2 linked regions of the Callithrix jacchus genome follow. The protein of the gene in region 2 binds, or shares a complex with, the protein of the main gene of each other region. Links are inferred from orthologs where the notes say so. Each region holds a gene or a part of one and is shown on either strand. Other genes may lie near its edges.

Region 1 (9,865 bases), on a different chromosome or scaffold from region 2:
GGTCTCAAACCCCTGGCTTGAAGCGTTTCTCCCACCTCGGCCTGCAAAAGTGTTGGATTTGTACAGGTATGAGCAATTGCACCGAGCTTGCTTTAAAAAAAAAAAAAAAAATGGTGAGCACTTCTTTTCCAGTCAAGATTTCCTGCTTGGCTTCTCTCTACTTCTCATATGATCAATGACTGCAAACATCACCTGCCAATTCTACAAGCCTAGCTTCTCATCCCTCTTCTCCTTGACTTCTTTTGGCTCTTCCTTCCTTCCTCTTATCCTGTGATCTTTCCTAACGTTAACCCAGCCTGCTCTCACACATACTCAAAACAGAAAGACAAGCCATATAAAAGACAACAGCCAGCTGGGGAAACAAAACATTTAACAGCCTCAGCAGGTATGTCATCACTATGGCTTGTTTCCTGTGTGGACCAAAGGACCCTCCTGTGTAGCTGCTTTCGTGTAGCAGTTCCCCGCCCTTGTCTTCTGTGAATGTCAAGGGCTTTCTCACTTACAGAGGCAAGGTCAGGAGAGAAAGACTAGGAGCACAGTCCTGAGGATGAAGCTCCACCTCCTGTCTGTGCAAACTCCCAGGAGTAGGCTCTACACAAGGCAGTGCCATTTTGTCATCACTCAAGAACCAGTGTGTGCTTTTAAAGTGGATCTGCTACCTTAAAAGCTTTTTCTTTTTGAGACAAAGTGTTGCTCTGTTGCCCAGGCTGGAGTGCAGTGGTGTGATCTCAGCTCACTGCAACCTCCACCTCCTGGGTTCAAGTGATTCTCCTGCCTCAGTCTCCTGAGTAGCTGGTACTACAGGTGCATGCCACAATGTCTGGCTCATTTTTGTATTTTTAGTAGACACTCCTGATCTCATGATCTGCCCACCTTAGCCTCCCAAAGTGCTGGGATAACAGGCGTGAGTCACTGAGCCAGGCCCAAAACTCTTTTTTATTTTTTATTTTTGAGACGGAGCTTCGCTGTTGTTATCCAGGCTGGAGTGCAATGGCGCTATCTCCGCTCACCGCAACCTCCGCCTCCTGGGTTCAAGCAATTCTCCTGCCTCAGCCTCCCGAGTAGCTGGGACCACAGGCACGCACCACCATGCCCAGCTAATTTTTGTATTTTTAGTAGAGACGGGGTTTCACCTTGTTGACCAGGATGGTCTCGATCTCTTAACCTCGTGATCCACCCGCCTCGGCCTCCCAAAGCGCTGGGATTATAGGCATGAGCCACCGCGCCCAGCCTATTTTTATTTTTTTGAGACGGAGTCTCACTCTGTTGCCCAGACTGGAGTGCAGTGATGTGATCTTGGCTCACCACAACCTCTGCCTCCCAGGTTCACACAATTCTCCTGCCTCAGCCTCCCAAGTAGCTGGGACTACAGGCACACACCACCATGCCCGGCTAATTTTTGTATTTTTAGTAGAGATGGGGTTTCACTATGCTGACCAAACTGGTCTTCAACTCCTGACCTGTGATCCACCTGCCTCAGCCTCCCCTTAATTTTTTTGTGAGATAGGATCTTGCTCTGTAGTTCAGGCTGGAGTGCAGTGGCGAAATCACCACTCATTGCAGCCTTGACCTGATGGGCTTAAGCCATTCTCCTGCCTCAGCCTCCAGAGTAGCTGGGAACACAAGTTCTCGCCACGATGCCCTATTAATTTTAAATTTTTTGTAGAGATGCTGTCTTGCTATGCTTCTCAGGCTAATCTCAAACTCCCGGGCTCAGCTCAAGCGATCTGCCTGCTTTAAACTTCCCAAAGTGCTGGGATTACAGGCATGTGCCACCTCGACTTCAAACGTCTTATTTTCCATTGCTCTTGAAATGAAAGCCAAGCTTCTGACCCATGCGGGAGCCAGTCCCACCACCCACCTCGTAAACAAGTCTCCCGTGCTGTCTGCCTCCATCGCTAAGCTCCAGCCACACTGGCTTTTCGATTCCTTAATCTGACCGGACATTTTCCTCTGAGGTGTTCTCCCCAGTCTGGCTTGTTTGAAAGCTCACCTTGTCTCAGTCTTCCTGTATGGTTGGCTCCTTTTCTTTCTTCAGATCTGGGCACAAATGATACTTCTCAGAGAGGCTAATTCTATCACTTGCACGTGATTTTGTTTTCTTCGTAGCATTCGGCATTGGGGTTTGTTTTTGAGACTGAGTCTTCCTCTGTCGCCTAGGCTGGAGTGCAGTGGCGCGATCTTAGCTCACTGCAACTTTTGCCTCCCGGATTCCAGCCATTCTCCTGCCTCAGCCCACCACCACCCCCAGCTAATTTTCTTATTTTCAGAAGACACCGGGTCTCACCATATTGGTCAGGCTGGTCTCAAACTCTTGACGTCAGGTGATCAAGCCGCCTAGGACTCCCAAGGTGCTGGGATTACAGGCGTGAGCCACCGCGCCTGACCGGAGGTGTTATTTTTCAGTCTCCCTCAGACACGCACGTCAGCTGTAAGAGGGCAGGGGCCATGGCAGCCCTGCTCACCGGTTGAACCCTTGCGCTAGCAATGCCTGACATGTATTTCTGTGCTCAATTATTTGGGCCGGGACCTGAGGTCACAGTGGTGAAGAAGACACTACACTCAACAGGCTCCAATTCAAACCTATGCCAAAATGTGCTCCTGCCACAGTGCTCCCTGAGTACACGGCTCTTTACCGAGGCCTTTCTGATACCTCAGAAAGCTGTGCTGTAGTCCACGTCACCTCAGCTCCCTCTTGAACTCAGACCCCAAATCCTACCACTTTCCAAGATCCTGGTAAAAGTTAAGTTGGACCCCTTACTTTTCCAAGGGCCTCCCCGCTCTAAAGGAGTGAATTCTGAGGTCCCCAAGGCACTCCCTGTTCTGGCCCCTAACCATCTCCTGCCACTCTCCTCTCAGCTGCTGTCCCCTTGGTCCAGCCGGCCTCCTGAGGGCCACGTTCCCGGGTTCTAATTACTTTCTACCTGGTCTCGATGATTCCGCCCTTACGCGCTCCCACGCCCTCCCAGCTGGCAGCTGCAGGGATCCTTTTAAAACTGTCCGGGACTCCTTAGCTCAAAGCCTTCCACGACTTCCCATTTTTTTCAGAGAAAAAAATCCATCAGGACCTAGCCCCGGGCTGCCTGTCAGACCTCAGCGAGCACACCCGGCTCTGGACGCCTTCTCTCGGAGCAGTCCCGGAGAGGCAGTTGCCGCGGGCTCCGGACCCTCCTCAGGGCAGCTCCCCCAGCCCCGCCCACAGGAAGGCGCTTCTCCCCATTACCCCGCGGCGCAGCGAGCCCGGCCTCGCCGCATCGCCCGCGCTGCTGCTCTCTGCTCCTCCACGGGCCGCCTAGCTACTGGTGCAGGACGCCTTCGCTAGTCCGCTTGGCCGTCCCCCGACGACTCTGTGCTGCAGGAAAGTCCACGGCACCACGCCCGGCCCTGGCACAGCGCAGGCGCTTAACACACAGCACCGAGCGATGAGGCTCGGACTCAAAGAGCTTTGCTTGCCCATTCGCAGCGCCCTGGACCTCAAAATCCCGTCCCGCGATCACGGTTCGCAGGCTCCTGAGTGGGACGCCTCCGCCCAGCCCGCGTCGGGCCTCGCACTCGGCGCGGGGGTGGGAGAAGGGGGGGCAGGGTCCGAGCGCCAGCGCATGCGCAGGGCGCGCGCGCGAGGCATCACGGGGTTCGTAGTCTCCCGAAGAGGCCGCTCCCGGCCGCGCGACCGCGCCTCCCCACACTACAACTCCCACGGGGCAGCGGGCGCGGCTCCTCGCACCCACCGGCTGGCCGGGTAAGACAGCCACTTCGCGGTCGGGCCCGCCGGCTGCCGCCCGCGCAATGAGCGGGAAGATGGCGGACGTGGTCGTGGGCAAAGACAAGTGCGGGGAGCAGCGGCTCGTCTCGCTGCCCTTGTCACGCATCCGGGTCATCATGAAGAGCTCCCCAGAGGTGTCCAGCATCAACCAGGAGGCGCTGGTGCTCACGGCCAAGGCCACGGTGAGGGGGCGGGGGTGGGGCCGCCTTTGCTCGTTGCGCCCCGCCCCGCCAGGCTCCCGGCACTGTCCAGTCCCCTTAGACCCGAGCGCCTCCCGCTGCCCTTACCGGGCTCGCGCGCGCCCCCCCTCTCCCTCCCACGCCCCCCCTCTCCCTCCCACGCCGGCGCGCGCCGGAGTGGCAGCGCGCCCCTACCCGCGGCACCCCCTCCCTTTCTCGCGCGTCTTCGCCCCGCCCACCCCGCGCCGCTCCCTCCCTGTCTCTAGTTTCTTCGTCCCATACACCGCGACCCGCTCCCGCCCTTTCTCGCTCTTTTCGCTCCTCCTTTCCTCGCGCACCTTCGGCCCCGTCCACCCCGTCGCGCTCCCGCCCTCCATCGCGTGTTTCCGTCCCGCAAACCCATAAGCTCCCAAGTTCCCTTGCGCGCCTTTTGTTCCGCCCACCTGTATGCTCCCGTAGTCCCTCGCGCACCGCGCTCAGCTTCCGGCCCTACCCGTAGACTTCGGCGCCAAGTGGAGTTGGCCTCATTTGGTTTCTTTGGCGGCTCTTTCACCCGCGACTCCCTATTCCTGGCCTTCCTTTTTCTTGCCGTTGGTCTGCTTCTTTCTTTGAGGGTCCTAACTCCTCCAGTGTTCCGTGGGAGGGGCAGCCGGGCGCTCCACCCAAGGCTCGAGGCTTTTCTCCCGCGGGTCAGGCGCCAGCTCCAGCGCTCCCAGGCTTTCGAGCCCCCCGCTCCGCACCACACCTGGCACCTCCTCTAAGAGAAAGCACATCCCCCAGCCAGAATTTAAGGAAGTCTAGGGGACCTAGATTTATAGCCTCTTAAGCATCCTCCTGGGTACAAAATAGATTTTGTCTTTTTAAAAAACATTGCGTGTTGATAGTGTTAGGCTAGATGTTTTTCTGTTCTGAGACTGGGCCATGTTTTAGCTACACAGTTAAAGGCTTTAACTTGTCTTAGATCCTATTTCCCAGTCCCGGCTTGTATTTAAGTACATAATGTCCCTACAGTGTTCGACCAGAACTAAGGGAAATGGGAAATTACAGATTTCTCGCCTGCTGTATTATACCAGAGCCATGTTTTCCTAGAGCCCAGGGAAGTAATTACATATTCAGCATTTCACCTGGGGACATTTGTGTTTTCCTGTACAATTTCATTTTATTACTTTTAGGGAATGAGGATTTATGCAGGCACTTAAGATTTCTAATTAATTTTTTTGATACGGAGTCTCACTCTGTTCCCCAGGCTGGAGTGCAGTGCAGATCTTGCTCACTGCAACCTCAGCCTCCCTACTCGCTGGGATTACAGCCACCCGCCATGACACTCGGCTGATTTTTGTATTTTTTTTTTGGTAGAGACAGGGTTTCACGATGTTGCCCAAATTGGTCTTGAACACCTGACCTCAGGTGATCCGTCTGTCTTGGCCTCCCAAAATGCTGGGATTACAGGCTTGAGCCACCATGCCCATCCTCATCCCTTATTAACTGAACTAGATGCATTGAAATCAAAACCTTGAGGAAGAGGCTTAGTTTATCCTCTGTAAAAATGAAGACCTGGCCCTGCTTTAAGAACTGTGGTTGGGGAGGGGAAGATGTCCGGTTGTTGCATTAGGTCTGAGGATTGTCAGTTCTAGAAAAGTCAGCAGAATAGGAGGTGTGGTCACTATCGTTATAGGTGAACCACCTTAGAAACAGTGTATGCAAATAGAAGACAAAATGTATTCCTGAGCCAAACAGAATTTTTGAATGGCTTTTTGCTTCTTTTACTCTAGAGGTTGCTCATTGAACAGTTATGATTCGTATTTTTCATAAGTTAGACATCTAAGACTCTGGAAAATGCCTGCTTCTCCGCCAATTTTGATACCAGCCTTGCTTGCTTTCTGACCTCATGTTTTTCCTTTCCCCAGTGATATATTTATTTATTTGTTTTTAAGACGGAGTCTCACTCTTTTGCACAGGTTAGAGTGCTGCAACTTCCAACCTCCACGTCCCAAGTTCAAGTGATTCTCCTTCCTCAGCCTCCCAAGTGGCTGGGATTACAGGCACCTGCCACCATGCCCAACTAATTTTTGAATTTTTAGTAGAGATGGGGTTTCACCATGTTGGCCAGTCTGGTCTCAAACTCCTGATCTCAAGTGATCCGCCTGGCTCAGCTTCCCAAGGTGTTGGTATTACTGGGTGTGAGCCACCATGTCTGGCCTCCCCAGTGATTTCTTGTAATTTAATTTGAGAAACCAAGATAATCTGAAGTCTTAATGTAATTTTAAGCCTGTTATAAGCTTATCAACAGCATAATTTTAAAAATTGAGCTCTGGGGTAAATTTTCAAAGCACATCTTTCATTTTACTTTTTCTTTTTTTTTTTTAGGAGCTCTTTGTTCAATATCTAGCTACCTATTCCTACAGACATGGCAGTGGAAAGGAAAAGAAAGTACTGACTTACAGTGATTTAGCAAACACTGCAGAGGAATCAGAAACTTTTCAGTTTCTTACAGGTACTTAGTCTTTGAAACATTCTGGTTGAAAAATGAATAGTCAGCAATAGCTACTCCCATACCCCTTGCCTCCCTTCTGCTTTGAAGGAATTAGACTTTTTGCTACTTTTTCCAAGCCTCAAAGGTACTATGAGCTGTCACTGGAAGATACTTTTAGTCTTGTCTGAATGTGTTTGTAATGTAGTCCACCTAGAACAATAAAATGAAGCCAATAGCATGCACAAGATGCTGGTTGGCTGCGTGTGCTGGGCAGTCCTTTCCCTTCTTCCTACGACGGGAGGGAAAGCTCAGGGTAAGTGTACATGCCTATAGTTAGAAAGAGCTTAAGTCTGCCCTGGGCCAGTTTAGTCTATCTCAGCTAATTGGGCAGGGTTGCTCATAAAGCGGCTCATAGAGACACCATGGTTTGTACTGAGTGAAATGGAAATAGTCCTATAGCATTCGTTAGGAGACAGTGCTAGTTTCCCTGATATTTTACCCAGAAGTATAGTCTCAATTTCATCTTGTTTTGGAAACTCTTGTAGAGGTCAAATCAGGAAATAGTACATTTTGAAATTTGCATTACTGTGTTCATAGTCTACCATAATGGCTGATGTAAACTTTATGTTTTTAAGATATATTACCAAAGAAGATTTTAGCTAGTAAATACCTGAAAATGCTTAAAGAAGAAAAGAGGGAAGAAGATGAGGAGAATGACAGTGATAATGAAAGTGACCATGATGAAGCCGAATCCTAAACCAAAAAAGTGCTTTAGAACCAGCCTGGTGAGGACTGCCCTGGACCCGCTCCACTGTCTCCAAGCATACACAACACTGCACACCGTTAGCATCTTTCCAGGCCAAGACTGAGTGCCTCATGCACCTACGCCATAAACAGCCAGAGGGAGAGTGACCCAGACGACAGCCTCTCGACAGGCCCACTCTGCAGCTCAGGCACCAAGAAAGCAGCTGAGACCGGCAGCCATTGCCGGCTGATCTGCAGCTCCAAACTGTAGAGGCAAGGCCTACTTTAACTTTTAAATTTACAATCAATTTTAAAGAGCTTCCACGTATCAGTTATGTAAATTTTCATATATGTATATTTTGGAATCAGTTCTTATAAACAGCTAGATTCAGTTTTAGCTGGTCATATGTTACATTTGAATTTTTGTCTTTTAAGAAAAGTTGTTCAAATATTTTTCTACTGTAAAGAAATATACTTTTCTGTTAAAGATCTGTATGTATTTTTACAGTAAAATGCTTTATGGAACTAGTTTTAGAGCCCTCCATGGCTCTGAGGCCTTGGTTACTGCCTACAAATTTTTTGAAATTTAAAAATAAGCATTCTAACACTTTTATTCCCACAGAAAAATTCCAAGTCAAATTATCAAATCAAATACAAAGTAAGTCTTACCTCTTGTATAAGCTTGTTGTTCTAAAAAAAATTGCAAAACACTGTATGTTTAAGATCTTTCTCATCTCACTGTTCTTTGCTTTAAATTCCTGGCACTTGCTTTTACTGTCTAAGAGCAAACCTATCATAAGCCCAATTTTTTTTTTCTCACATAGGGTAAATGTTTAGCTCTTCTTTTCTTTTTTCATTATCTTTTTTTTTTTTTTTTAAAGACAGATTCTCTGTTGTGCCATCTTGGCTCACTGCAGCTTCTGCCTCCCAGATTCAAGCGATTCTCTTGCTCAGCCTCCCAAGTAGCTGGGATTATAGGCATGTGCCACCACGCCTGATGAATTTTTATAATTCTAGTAGAGACGAGGTTTCACCTTGTTGACCAAGCTAGTCTCAAACTCTTGACCTCAAGTGATCTGCCCTCCTTGGCCTCCCAAAGTGCTGGGATTACAGGTGTGAGCCACTGCACCCAGCCTTCATTATTTCTTTTTTAAAAACAAAAAAGTTTATTTCCTGAAGTTACTCTGCATGAAGGAAAAATTAAAAAATAATTAAGAATAAAAAGTTTATAATTTACATTCAGTAAAGTCACCCTTTTTAGTGTCTAGTCTGTGAATTTGGACAAATGTATGGTTTTATCACCAATCGCTAGGCAGGACAGTTCCATCACCCATGACATTCCCCAATGCCCCCATACTCAGACTTGTCTCCTGCCCTCTAGCAGCCACCGGTGTTTTCTGTGCCTCTTGTTTATTAACATTTAATTTTTAGGTTACTATTACTAAATCTTCTAAGAAGAAAGAAAAACCCCCAAACATTTATTTTAAAATAATTAAAAATCTACTCTTTGGTGTACAGTTCTGAGTTTTGACAAATGCAGTCAAGTCACCACCACCACAACTAACAACTACATCATCCTCCAAAAAATTCCCTTGTGGTCAACTCCTTCCCCACCTTTTACCCTGGCAACCGTCAAGCTATCTCTGTCCCTATAGCAGGTATCAGATTTTTTTCTGGAAAGGGCCATGCAGTAAATAGTTCAAGCTTTGTGGCCTTTTATCGTCCCTGTTGCAGCTACTAAACTATGCTGTAGTGGTGCGAAAGCAGACAGGTGATACATGAAGGAATGCAGGTGCTGTGTTTCAAGAGCTTCATTTTTGCAAATTGAAACTTGCATTTTGTGTAATTTTCATGTCATGAAATACTGTTTTCTCCATTTAATAATGTAAATACTTAGCTTATGTGTCATTAAAAAAATGAATGGATTTGGCCTACAGACCAGTTGGCTGACTGTCTTTTCCAGAATGCCATATAAATGGAATCATCGAGTAGGTAGCATTCAAGGCTGCAGTTTCTCTGTTTAGCAGAATGCATTTGAGATACATCCGTGTTAGCACGGGTATTAGACGTCCATTTCTTTTTATTGCTGAGTAGGATTCCATTGTATGGATGTGATTGTTTATCCATTTTCCATGTATATGGAACATTACCCATTTGGATTGTTTCTAGTTTGATGACTGATTTTTTTTTGTTTGTTTGAGATAGGGTCTCACTGTTACCCAGGCTGGAGTGCAATGGCATGATTCCAGCTCACTGCAGCTGCCATCTGGGTTCAGCCTCCTGAGTAGCTGGGATTACAGGCGCGCATCACTATGCTAAGCTCATTTTGTTTGCATTTTTCATAGAGAGGTGGTTTCACCATGTTGGCCAGGCTGGTCTCTAACTCCTGACCTCAGTGATCTGCCTGCCTCAGCCTCTCAAAGTGTTGGGATTATAGGCGTGAGTCACCATGCCTGGACTTGCTGACTATAATTAATAAAGCCCTCTAAACACTTGTGTACAGGTGTTTTTTTGAGATGGAGTTTGATTCACTCTGCTGCCCAGGCTGGAGTGTAGTGGCACTATCTTGGCTCACTGCAACCTCTGCCTTCAGGTTCAGGTAATTCTCCTGCCTCTCAAGTAGCTGGGATTACAGCAGTTCGCCACCAGCCTGGCTAACTTTTGTATTTTTAGTAGAGATAGGCTTTCACCCTGTTGGCAGGCTGG
Region 2 (9,868 bases):
AAATAGGTCTATTTTAAAATTTAGAAGTTTTTTTCATGGTTATTTTAAACTCCTTTGTATTTCTCTGTGGCTTGTGCCATTATTATTATTTAAATTTTTTATTTCATTTGAAATATGTAAGAGACTATTAACTAAGAACTGATTCATAGATCAAGTGGGTAGATCACAGAATTTAATTACCTATAAACTGTCTGTCAGGGGTGTTATGAACTTTAATACCCATAAAGGCTTCTACCAAGCTGGGATGAAAGACATTCATGAGTAATGAGTCAGAACCAACAGTGCAGCCACAACTTGCAAATTTAAAAATACATCTAAAATACAATATCAGGCCAGATGCAGTTGCTCATGCCTGTAATCCCAGAACTTTAGGAGGCAGAGGCAGTCAGATCAGGAGTTTGAGGTCAGGAGTTTGAGACCAGCCTGCCAACATGGTGAAACTCCATCTCTACCAAAAATATAAAAATTAGCTGGGCATGGTGGTGCTCACCTGTAATCCCAGCTATTTGGGAGGGTGAGGCAGGAGAATTGCTTGAACCTGGGAGGTGGAGGTTGCAGTGAGCTGAGACTGCGCCACTGCACTCCAGCCTGGGCGACAGTGAGACTTTGCCTCAAAAAATAAAAATTAAAATTAAATAAAATACCATTTCAGTTTTATGAGAGGACACATTAATATGGCATATCATAGCTAATAGCAAAATTAGAAATAATTTAGATTTTTACTAATGCTTCGTATAGTTAATTGTTTCCAACTAAAATATATCAAGTTTATTGATAAAACTTAATATTCAACTACATCTTAGAAAGACTTTTGTCTTGTTTTGGCAGTTGTTAATCACTTAGCACCTAAATTATCTCTAGAGCATGACTAGATTTCATGATAATACCACATTTTCCCTTAATTGCTACTATCCAATCCATAAAAATCTTGTTTTTTCTTTTAACTCTCTTAAATTTTGAGTTTCCTAATTTTCCTATCATTACTACTATCACCAATCCAATTCAAACCAATCAGCTCATGCTTGAAATAGTACCGCTTAATCTGCCTATATTTTCTTTCTTCTCTCGAGCAGCTCTCCACACTACAGTGTTGTTTTAAAAATAAAATCTAGGCCGGGCACAGTGGCTCATGCCTGTAATCCCAGCACTTTGGGAGGCCAAGGTGGGTGGATCACGAGGTCCAGAGATCGAGACCATCCTGGCCAACACGGTGAAACCCCGTCTCTACTAAAAATACAAAAAAATTATCTGGGTGTGGTGGCGCGCCCCTGTAGTCCCAGCTACTTGGGAGGCTGAAGCAAGAGAATTGCTTGAACCCGGGAGGCGGAGGTTGCAGTGAGCTGAGATCACGCCACTGCACTCCAGCCTGGCGCCTGGTGACAGAGTGAGACTCTGTCTCAAATAAATAAATAAATAATAAAATAAAATCTAATCATGTCACTGAATATAAGTCTGTAAATTCTTCCCCATTGTTGTTAAAGCTAAAACTCTTTAGGCTGGGAGTGGTGGCTGACACCTGTAATCTTAGCACTTTGAGAGGCTGAAGCAGGTCTATCACTTGAGGTCAGGAGTTTGAGACCAGCCTGGCCAACATGGTGAAACTTCATCTCTTCTAAAAATACAAAATTAGGACCAGGCATCGTGGCTCTTGCCTGTAATCCCAGTGCTTTGGGAGGCTGAGGCAGGCGGATCACAAGGTCAGGAGTTTCAGACCAGCCTGGCAAACAGGTGAAACCCTCTCTCTACTAAAAATACAAAAAATTAGCTGGGCGTGGTGGCGGGTGCCTGTAATCCCAGCTACTCAGGAGGCTTAGGCAGGAGAATCACTTGAACCTGGGAGGCAGAAGTTGCAGTGAGCCGAGACTTCACCACTGCATTCCAACCTGGGCAACAGTGAGAGACTCCATCTCAAAAAATAAATAAAATAAAATAAAATACAAAATAAAAACACAAATTAGCTGGGTGTAGTGGTGCATGCCTGTAATCCCAGCTACGTGGGAGACTGAGGCAGGAGAATCACCTGAACCCAGGAGGCAGAGGTTGCAGTGAGCCCAGATCGTGCCACTGCACTCCAGCTTGCCCGAGAGAGTGAGACCCTGTCTGAAAAACAAAAACAAACAAAAAACAACAATAGAAAAACTCTTTAGCACAGCCTTCAAAACCTTAGCCATTCTGTCTGTCATCTACTCATTAGCTTCCTGTTATAATACATTCTTTTGGCTTCCTTCTCTAGCCACGCTCTCCACTTCTCCCCCTTCTCCCTGGCTTTTTTTTTTTTCCTTTTTTTTTTTTTTGAGACAGGTTCTTACTCTGTTGCCCAAGCTGAAGTGCAGTGGTGAGATCCTGGCTCACTGTAACCTCTGCCTCCCAGGCTCAAGTAATTCTCCAGCCTCAGCCTCCCAAGTAGCTGGGACTACAGGCATGTGCCACCACATCTGGCTAGGTTTTGTTGTTGTTGTTGTTCTGTTTTGGTAGAGATGGGGAATCTCACTATGTTGGCTGGGGTGGTCTTGAATTCCTGGCCTGAAGCGATCCTTCAGCCTCGGTCCACCTAAACTCTGGGATTTCAGGAATGAGCCATCAAGCTCGGCCAATGATAACATTTTTACTAGAATACATCAATGCCACTTTGAACTGCTACTATAAAATCACAATGGAAATAGCAGATAGCAATTATTGAATGCTTACTATGTGCTAGGCACTGTGTCAAGAGCAATACATACAATACCTCTTTTAATCTTCTGAGTAAGTATTGCTAAGCCCATTTTACTAAGAAGAAAATGAAGGCTCAGAGAAGATGTCATGCTCAAAGTCATACAACTATTTTTTTTTTTTTCGAGACAGAGTTTCGCTCTTGTTACCCAGGCTGGAGTGCAATGGCGCGATCTGGGCTCACCACAACCTCCACCTCCTGGGTTCAGGCAATTCTGCTGCCTCAGCCTCCCGAGTAGCTGGGATTACAGGCACATGCCACCATGCCCAGCTAATTTTTTGTATTTTTAGTAGAGACGGGGTTTCATCATGTTGACCAGGATGGTCTCGATCTCTTGACCTCGTGATCCACCAGCCTTGGCCTCCCAAAGTGCTGGGATTATAGGCTTGAGCCACCGTGCCCGGCCGTCATACAACTATTAAGTGATAGAGACAGTATAGCCAATATTCAACCCAGGTCTATCTGACTCACTTCTGATTTCTCTCTCTGTCCTTTCTTAACCACAAGTATCTGTACGCTAGGACTCACTAGGACATCATAAGTTATTTGAGCTAATGCACCGTTAGAGAAGGAACATGGGCTTTGGTGTTAGACCAGCTTTGAATTTGAGACCCAGCTCTGGCACAGACCAGCCATTTGATCTTAGACAAGTTACATCACCCTCTCTCTCCACTCCCACCCTAAATCTTAGGTTCTATATCTATAAATTGGAAATAATATCAGCCATCTTACAAGGTTGCCATAAAAATTAGGTATAATGTATATAAAGTGCTTGGCACATCAATGGTATTCAATAAATCACTTTTTTTTTTTTGAGACGGAGTTTAGCTCTTGTTACCCAGGTTGGAGTGCAATGGTGTGATCTCGGCTCACCACAACCTCCGCCTCCTGGGTTCAAGCAATTCTCCTGCCTCAGCCTCCCAAGTAGCCGGGATTACAGGCACGCGCCACCATGCCCAGCTAATTTTTTGTATTTTGAGTAGAGACGGGGTTTCACCATGTTGACCAGGATGGTCTCGATCTCTTAACCTCATGATCCACCCGCCTCCCAAAGTGCTGGGATTACAGGCTTGAGCCACCACGCCCGGCCCTAATAAATCACTTTTTATCATTGAATTATACAATGACTTTATTTGTTCAGTAATTGATATATTTGGCAACATTATGTTTTAGATTTTGAAGGATAGTCTATTCTGTGATTCAGAAACATTGTCACCAGAGATATATTTGTCAGAGTATGTGTCCTTTTTTTTGTTTAGAGAAAAAGTATTTATTTCTCTTAAAGTGGTAAGTCTATAAAACATGCCTAATAAACCCATGATTAGTAACTGAATAATTATACAGCATAAACAAATGCATGAAGAATCCACAAGTAATCAGAAAAATATACTTTATATGAATCAGAAAGAATAAGTAGAGTTCATCAAATTACTTGAGTTTTATCTCTGATTCATTAAGTTCTGAAACATAGGTACAATTTAATGTTTACAATTTAACCAAATAATGAAAATGGAACATCCGTTGTCTGCACCCTTAAATGTAAAGTTACTGATCAAAAAGTTTTGGTCACCATTTATATAAGCAAAATAAATGAGCAAATATGTTTACTAAATGATGCACAATATATGTTCATATTCATGTGGAATTTTTTTTTAAATGTATTTAATTGAAAAGAGTAGGCCAGGTGCAGTGGCTCACGGCTGTAATCTTAGCACTCTGGGATGCCATCATGGGTGGATCACTTGAGGCCAGGAGTTTGAGACCAGCCTGGCCAACATGGTTAAACCCTGTCTCTACTAAAAATACAAAATTAATAATTCCAGCTACTTGGGAGGCTGAGGCAGGATAATCGCTTGAACCCTGAAGGGAGAGGTTGCGGTGAGCTGAGATCACACCATTGTACTCCAACCTGGGCAACAAAAGTGAAATTCCAACTCAAAAAAAAGAAGAAGGGAGAAGGAGAACAAGGAGAAGAAGAAGGAGAAGAAGGAGAAGAAGAATGGAGGATTAATGGGAAAAACAACTTCATCTGTTTCACAATTTTTCTAAAGAAATCTGGAGTAATTTATACACAGTTGATTCCAAACAGTATTCAAATAAGATAGTCAGGTCCTAAATGCCAAATACAGTTAAAGACAACAAAAGCTGTAAATAGCTAAAAAATACAAATTACCTTTTTTGGGGGGCTGTTGGAAAGTTATAGGCTGAATTTCATATTGCTGTGACTATGTTCTATTTACTGGCTTTTTCCTTTCAGCAGTTAAAAACCAGTAACCTACAGGAAAACAGTAGTATAATCTCAACATTCTATTAAACTTGGTCACGGCCAGGCTTACGCCTATAATCCTATCACTTTGGGAGGCTGAGGCAGGCAGATCACCTGAGTTCAGGGGTTCGAGACCAGCCTGGCTAACATGGCAAAACCCTGTCTCTACTAAAAATACAAAAATCAGTTGGGTGTGGTGATACATGCGTGTAATCCCAGCTACTCGGGAGGCTGAGGCAGGAGAATGGCTTGAACCCAGGTGCAAGAGGTTGCAGTGAGCGGAGATTGCACCATTGCACTAGTGGCTGAGCCACAAGTGGTAAGGTCAGTTATTGTAATTCATAGTGAAGTAAAGGTGTATGTGTGTTTTGTAAATTTTTCTTCTTTTGCATACAGACTGGGGGGTGGGGGGGTCTCACTGTGTTGCCCAAGCTGATCCCAAACTCTTGGGCTCAAGCAATCCTCATGCCTTGGTCTCCCAAAGCGCTGGGATTAGAGGCATGAGTCACCATGCCTGGCCAGGTATGGCATGCTTTTAATCCCTTTTGTTAGAGAAGATGAAATTACTGAACAATTAAATAAATTATTAGAGAAAAACATATTCTTTTTTTATTCATTATATGAATTCTAATAAATGGGCTACAATCGGGTATTGAGTTCAAAATCTGAAAATGTAAGATAGAGTACCTGGGGGAGGGTACATGTCCATAATTTCTGTCTGTTTCAGATATATGCAGGGATGCCAGGGACAGGGAAAAAAAAAGCATATATTCAAATAGGTCCTGGGGGGACAAATGAGTACATAAACCTCTCCTCAAAGAACAGAAGCCCCCTTCCTTTTTTTTTTTTTGGTTTTTATTTTTATATGTCTATGTCTTTCTAAAGCCCCATTTTCTAAAGCATGGGGCTTTAGAAAAACCACCACCACAGACACACAATAGGGATGACATTGCTTAGGGGCTTCTAAGCATCATTTCAAGTCTGAATCTGGAATATCCTCTTGGCAATTTGAAGAAAGGTAGAAAGGTGAGCTTTACCTAATAGTGTAGCAAAGAACTACAACAGATAAAAAGAGCAGTTTTTATGGTGGTCACTCATTTATTACCTGAAGTTAGGTAGGCTTGGATTTAAATCCTATCTCTGGCACTTAATGGCTACAACTAAACAGTGTGTGTATATCAGTTAATATCTCTGCCTATTTCCTGATCTGTAAATGGAGTTAATAATAGTGCCTACCTCGGAGGATTGTTCTGAGGATCAAATAAGATAGGTGCCTGGCATGAGCAAATTTTATTATTAATTATCTTCCCTACCACTGTTCTTAAGTTGGAAAAAGCAGATTTTGAGGCAGATCATAAAATATGTTACAGGTAGATATTTCTAAAGTCAAATCTACCTTTAGCATGGACTGTATGCCCTAAAACCAAAACTTACATCATAATATCAAAATGTTTAAATGGCTATCTTGTTATTTCTCTACCTTGATATAAATTGTCTTTATCTTCCATCTGCAGACTCTTTAGAAGTTTGTAAGCCAGGCAAGTCAGGCACTGTGGCTTATGCCTGTAATCCTAACACTTTGGGAGGCTGAGGCAGGAGGATTAGTTGAGCCCAGGAGTTCCATACTGGCCTGGGAAACATGGTGAGACCTTGTCTCTACAAAAAAACTTCTTAAAATTTCACCTAGTGTGGTGTTACACACCTGTAGTTCCAGCTACTTGGGAGACTGAGGTGGGAAGATCGCTTGAACCCGGGAGGTTGAGGATGCGATGAGCCAAGATCACCCCACTGAACCCCAGGTTTTACTGAGAGTAAAACCCTATCTCAAAAAAAAAAAATAAAAGAAGTTTGTAGGAAGAAATACTTCAGCAAAGAAATTGACCTACTTTTTGAGGAAAATTATATAATTTTAGCAGCTGAAAAAAAGAGCTCAGCAACTTGATTACTATATTGTTTCCATCTTCTAAGCAACAAACAATATTTTCAAGCTGGAAAAAATATCAAAATACTTCTGGGATGCTGCCGTCTAGGTACCCCAGATAAAACTCTTTAACATTGTTCATACCCCTGGGACAGATGTTAAACTTTGCATATCTATAATACCAGTGCAGTATTAGATATTCTGAACTTTAAGACCAGCTATTTTCACACACAGAAGTTCATGTGCCCCATTCCAATCCATTTCTCTCATATTACAATCAGTTTGTATTGGTTGGGGATATATTTCTCCTGCCAAATAAGAAGTAAACTCCTTTGTTATTCAACTTTGTCCAAGTTCAGCACATTATGATGCTTCGTTTATGTATGTTAAATGAACAATGTAAGATGGACTAAAAGCCCATAATACATGAAAATATGATAAATATTACCTCTCTCTTCTACAGAATTCAAGACTCCAGGACTCTGGAGATATTGAAAGAATTCGCCCAGTGATTTCAGAACCAGCATTAGTAATCTCTGAGAAATTATGTTAAGAATGAGGTAGGAGTGATCAGTTTCTGGAAAAGTGTAGACTGACAACTTTCCAAATTTTCAATAGTCTAATAGTCTTTTCCACATGGTGGAAAGTTTGAATCCAAGAGCCTGCAACATTCTGTAGCAGTTTATTAAGCATTGGCTTATGTGTATTTATAGAAGTACGCAGTCATCATTAGAAGCCAACATGGGTGGCCGGGCAAAGTGGCTCACACCTGTAATCCCAGCACTTTGGGAGGCTGAGATGGGCAGATCACCTGAGATCAGGATTTCAAGACCAGCCTGACCAACGTGGAGAAACCCCATCTCTATTAAAACTACAAAATTAGCTAGGCGTGGTGGCACATGCCTGTAATCCCAGATACTCGGGAGGCTGAGGCAGAAGAATTACTTGAACTTGGGAGGTGGAAGTTGCAGTGAGCTGAGATAGTGCCATTGCACTCTAGCCTGGGCAATAAGTGTGGAAAAAAAAAAAAAAGAAGCTGGCCGGGCGTGGTGGCTCAAGCCTATAATCCCAGCACTTTGGGAGGCTGAGGCGGGTAGATCACGAGGTCAAGAGATCAAGACCATCCTGGTCAACATGGTGAAACCCCGTCTCTACTAAAAATACAAAAATTAGGTGGGCATGGTAGTGCGTGTCTGTAATCCCAGCTACTCAGGAGGCTGAGGCGGGAGAATTGCTTGAACCCAGGAGGCGGAGGTTGTGGTGAGCAGAGATCGTGCCATTGCACTCCAGCCTGGGTAACAAGAGCGAAACTCCGTTTCAAAAAAAAAAACATGGGCGCTTAGAATTTCATTCAAAATGAATCCCTTTTCCTTTATTTTGCTAAGGTTTCTGGGTTGGCATATCAGAGGAATTCTATGGCATGCTGTCACTAATCACCATGGTGGAAGAAGAGCTGACCACTGTGATAAGACTATTTGTAAGTATGGAATTTTAACAGTACAAAAGAACAAAAATCTCCCAAACTGAAGCTGCAACTAGTAGGTGAGAGATCAAATTTAGTTGTTGTTTTTGAGACAGTGTCTTGCTCTGTTGCTCAGGCTGGAGTGCAGCAGCTCAATATCAGCTCACTAAAACCTGTGCCTCCCACGTTCAAATGTTTCTGGTGCCTCAGCCTCCCAAGTAGCTGGGACTATAGGTCGTGGGCCACCACACCCAGCTAACTTTTGCTTTAGTAGAGACAGGATTTCACCATGTTGCCCAGGCTGGTCTCAAACCCCTGGCCTCAAGTGATCCACCCACTTCAGCCTCCCAAAGTGCTGGGATTACAGGTGTGAGCTACCACACCTGGCCAGAAGGAATCAATTTATATCAGGTTTATGTACAAGAATATTTAAGTATATGTAAGGCAGAAGAACAGGAACACAGGCAGATACAAATCTGTGGCTCCTTATTAAACTGAGTAGGCAAATCACAACATTTTATTAGATGTCGGAATGAAGATGAAGAAGAGGTGGTTAAGTTATCAGAAGACAAGAGTTGTCCATTAAGGAAACCAAACAAATGGCAAGGCAAAAAGCCAAGCCAGGCAGATGCAATAGTTAAAAAGTTCTGGGGATGCAAGTTGCAGGGATGATGTTTTCAGATCACTGTTGTTTTCTGACGACACCTCATCAGATGATAAAGGCATTCTTTCTGGTTTTTAAAGTAACTAGGACCCTGACAACGGCAAGCTGTAATCCTAGAGCACTGTTTTTCAACCACGGCTGCAATTAGGGGTTTGTAAAAATACCAATGCCAAGGGTTTCAACCCCAGGCCAATTAAATCAATCTCTGGGGTTGCAACTCAGTCCTCAGTATTTTTTAAAAACTCCTCCAGGTGAATTTAATGTAAGCAAAAGTTATAGATTATTATCCTAGAGGGAAATCTCTATAGCACACTGCTTTCAAATTTTGATGTGCATACAAATTGCTTTGTGAGCCTTGTTAAAATGCAGGGTTTAAATTAATAAGCTTGAGTTACTAATCTCAGGCCTGAGATTCAGGATTTATAATAACCAAGAAATACTGGGAGGCTGGACCACAGATCACACCTAGAGTAATAAGGGTCTAAGAGATGCTGCAAGACTCCCTTTCTGGCCCTTTTTTGGTTCAGAATCTTAGATTAGATTAAGATTACAGCTTAAAAAATCTACAGGTATGGTTATTAAATATGATTATGCAAAAAGAGATGGCAAACAGTTTTAGTTTAGAATTAAGATTCAAAAATATTTTCACAAGTTGAAATAAACAAGACAAAATATACTCCTTTTTTTCTTTTTAAAAATCAATGTGATCCCAATGTTACTCCTTTACAAAAAAAAAATCAAAAAACAAAAAACTAAGTCAGGGTCTTACTGTCACCATGGCTAGGGTGCAGTGGTACAGTCATAGCTCACTATAACTTCAAACTCCTTGGCTCAAGCAATCT

The links.
Region 1: BAZ1A (region 2) and CHRAC1 share a complex: the UniProt entries of both Homo sapiens proteins name them as parts of the CHRAC ISWI chromatin remodeling complex. The link is inferred for Callithrix jacchus from reciprocal best matches to the Homo sapiens genes BAZ1A and CHRAC1.

Annotation. Positions count from the first base shown.
Region 1 is NC_133517.1:57,025,082-57,034,946, reverse strand, and holds the start of CHRAC1 (chromatin accessibility complex protein 1), read left to right. Parts: upstream 1-3,720; 5' UTR 3,721-3,786; coding exon 3,787-3,945; intron 3,946-4,385; exon of another isoform or gene 4,386-4,701; intron 4,702-6,309; coding exon 6,310-6,436; intron 6,437-7,050; coding exon 7,051-7,172; 3' UTR 7,173-9,865. UniProt on the Homo sapiens protein: Forms a complex with DNA polymerase epsilon subunit POLE3 and binds naked DNA, which is then incorporated into chromatin, aided by the nucleosome remodeling activity of ISWI/SNF2H and ACF1.
Region 2 is NC_133509.1:69,376,886-69,386,753, forward strand, and holds the start of BAZ1A (bromodomain adjacent to zinc finger domain protein 1A), read right to left. Parts: upstream 4,948-9,868; 5' UTR 4,887-4,947; intron 1-4,886. UniProt on the Homo sapiens protein: Regulatory subunit of the ATP-dependent ACF-1 and ACF-5 ISWI chromatin remodeling complexes, which form ordered nucleosome arrays on chromatin and slide edge- and center-positioned histone octamers away from their original location on the DNA template to facilitate access to DNA during DNA-templated processes such as DNA replication, transcription, and repair.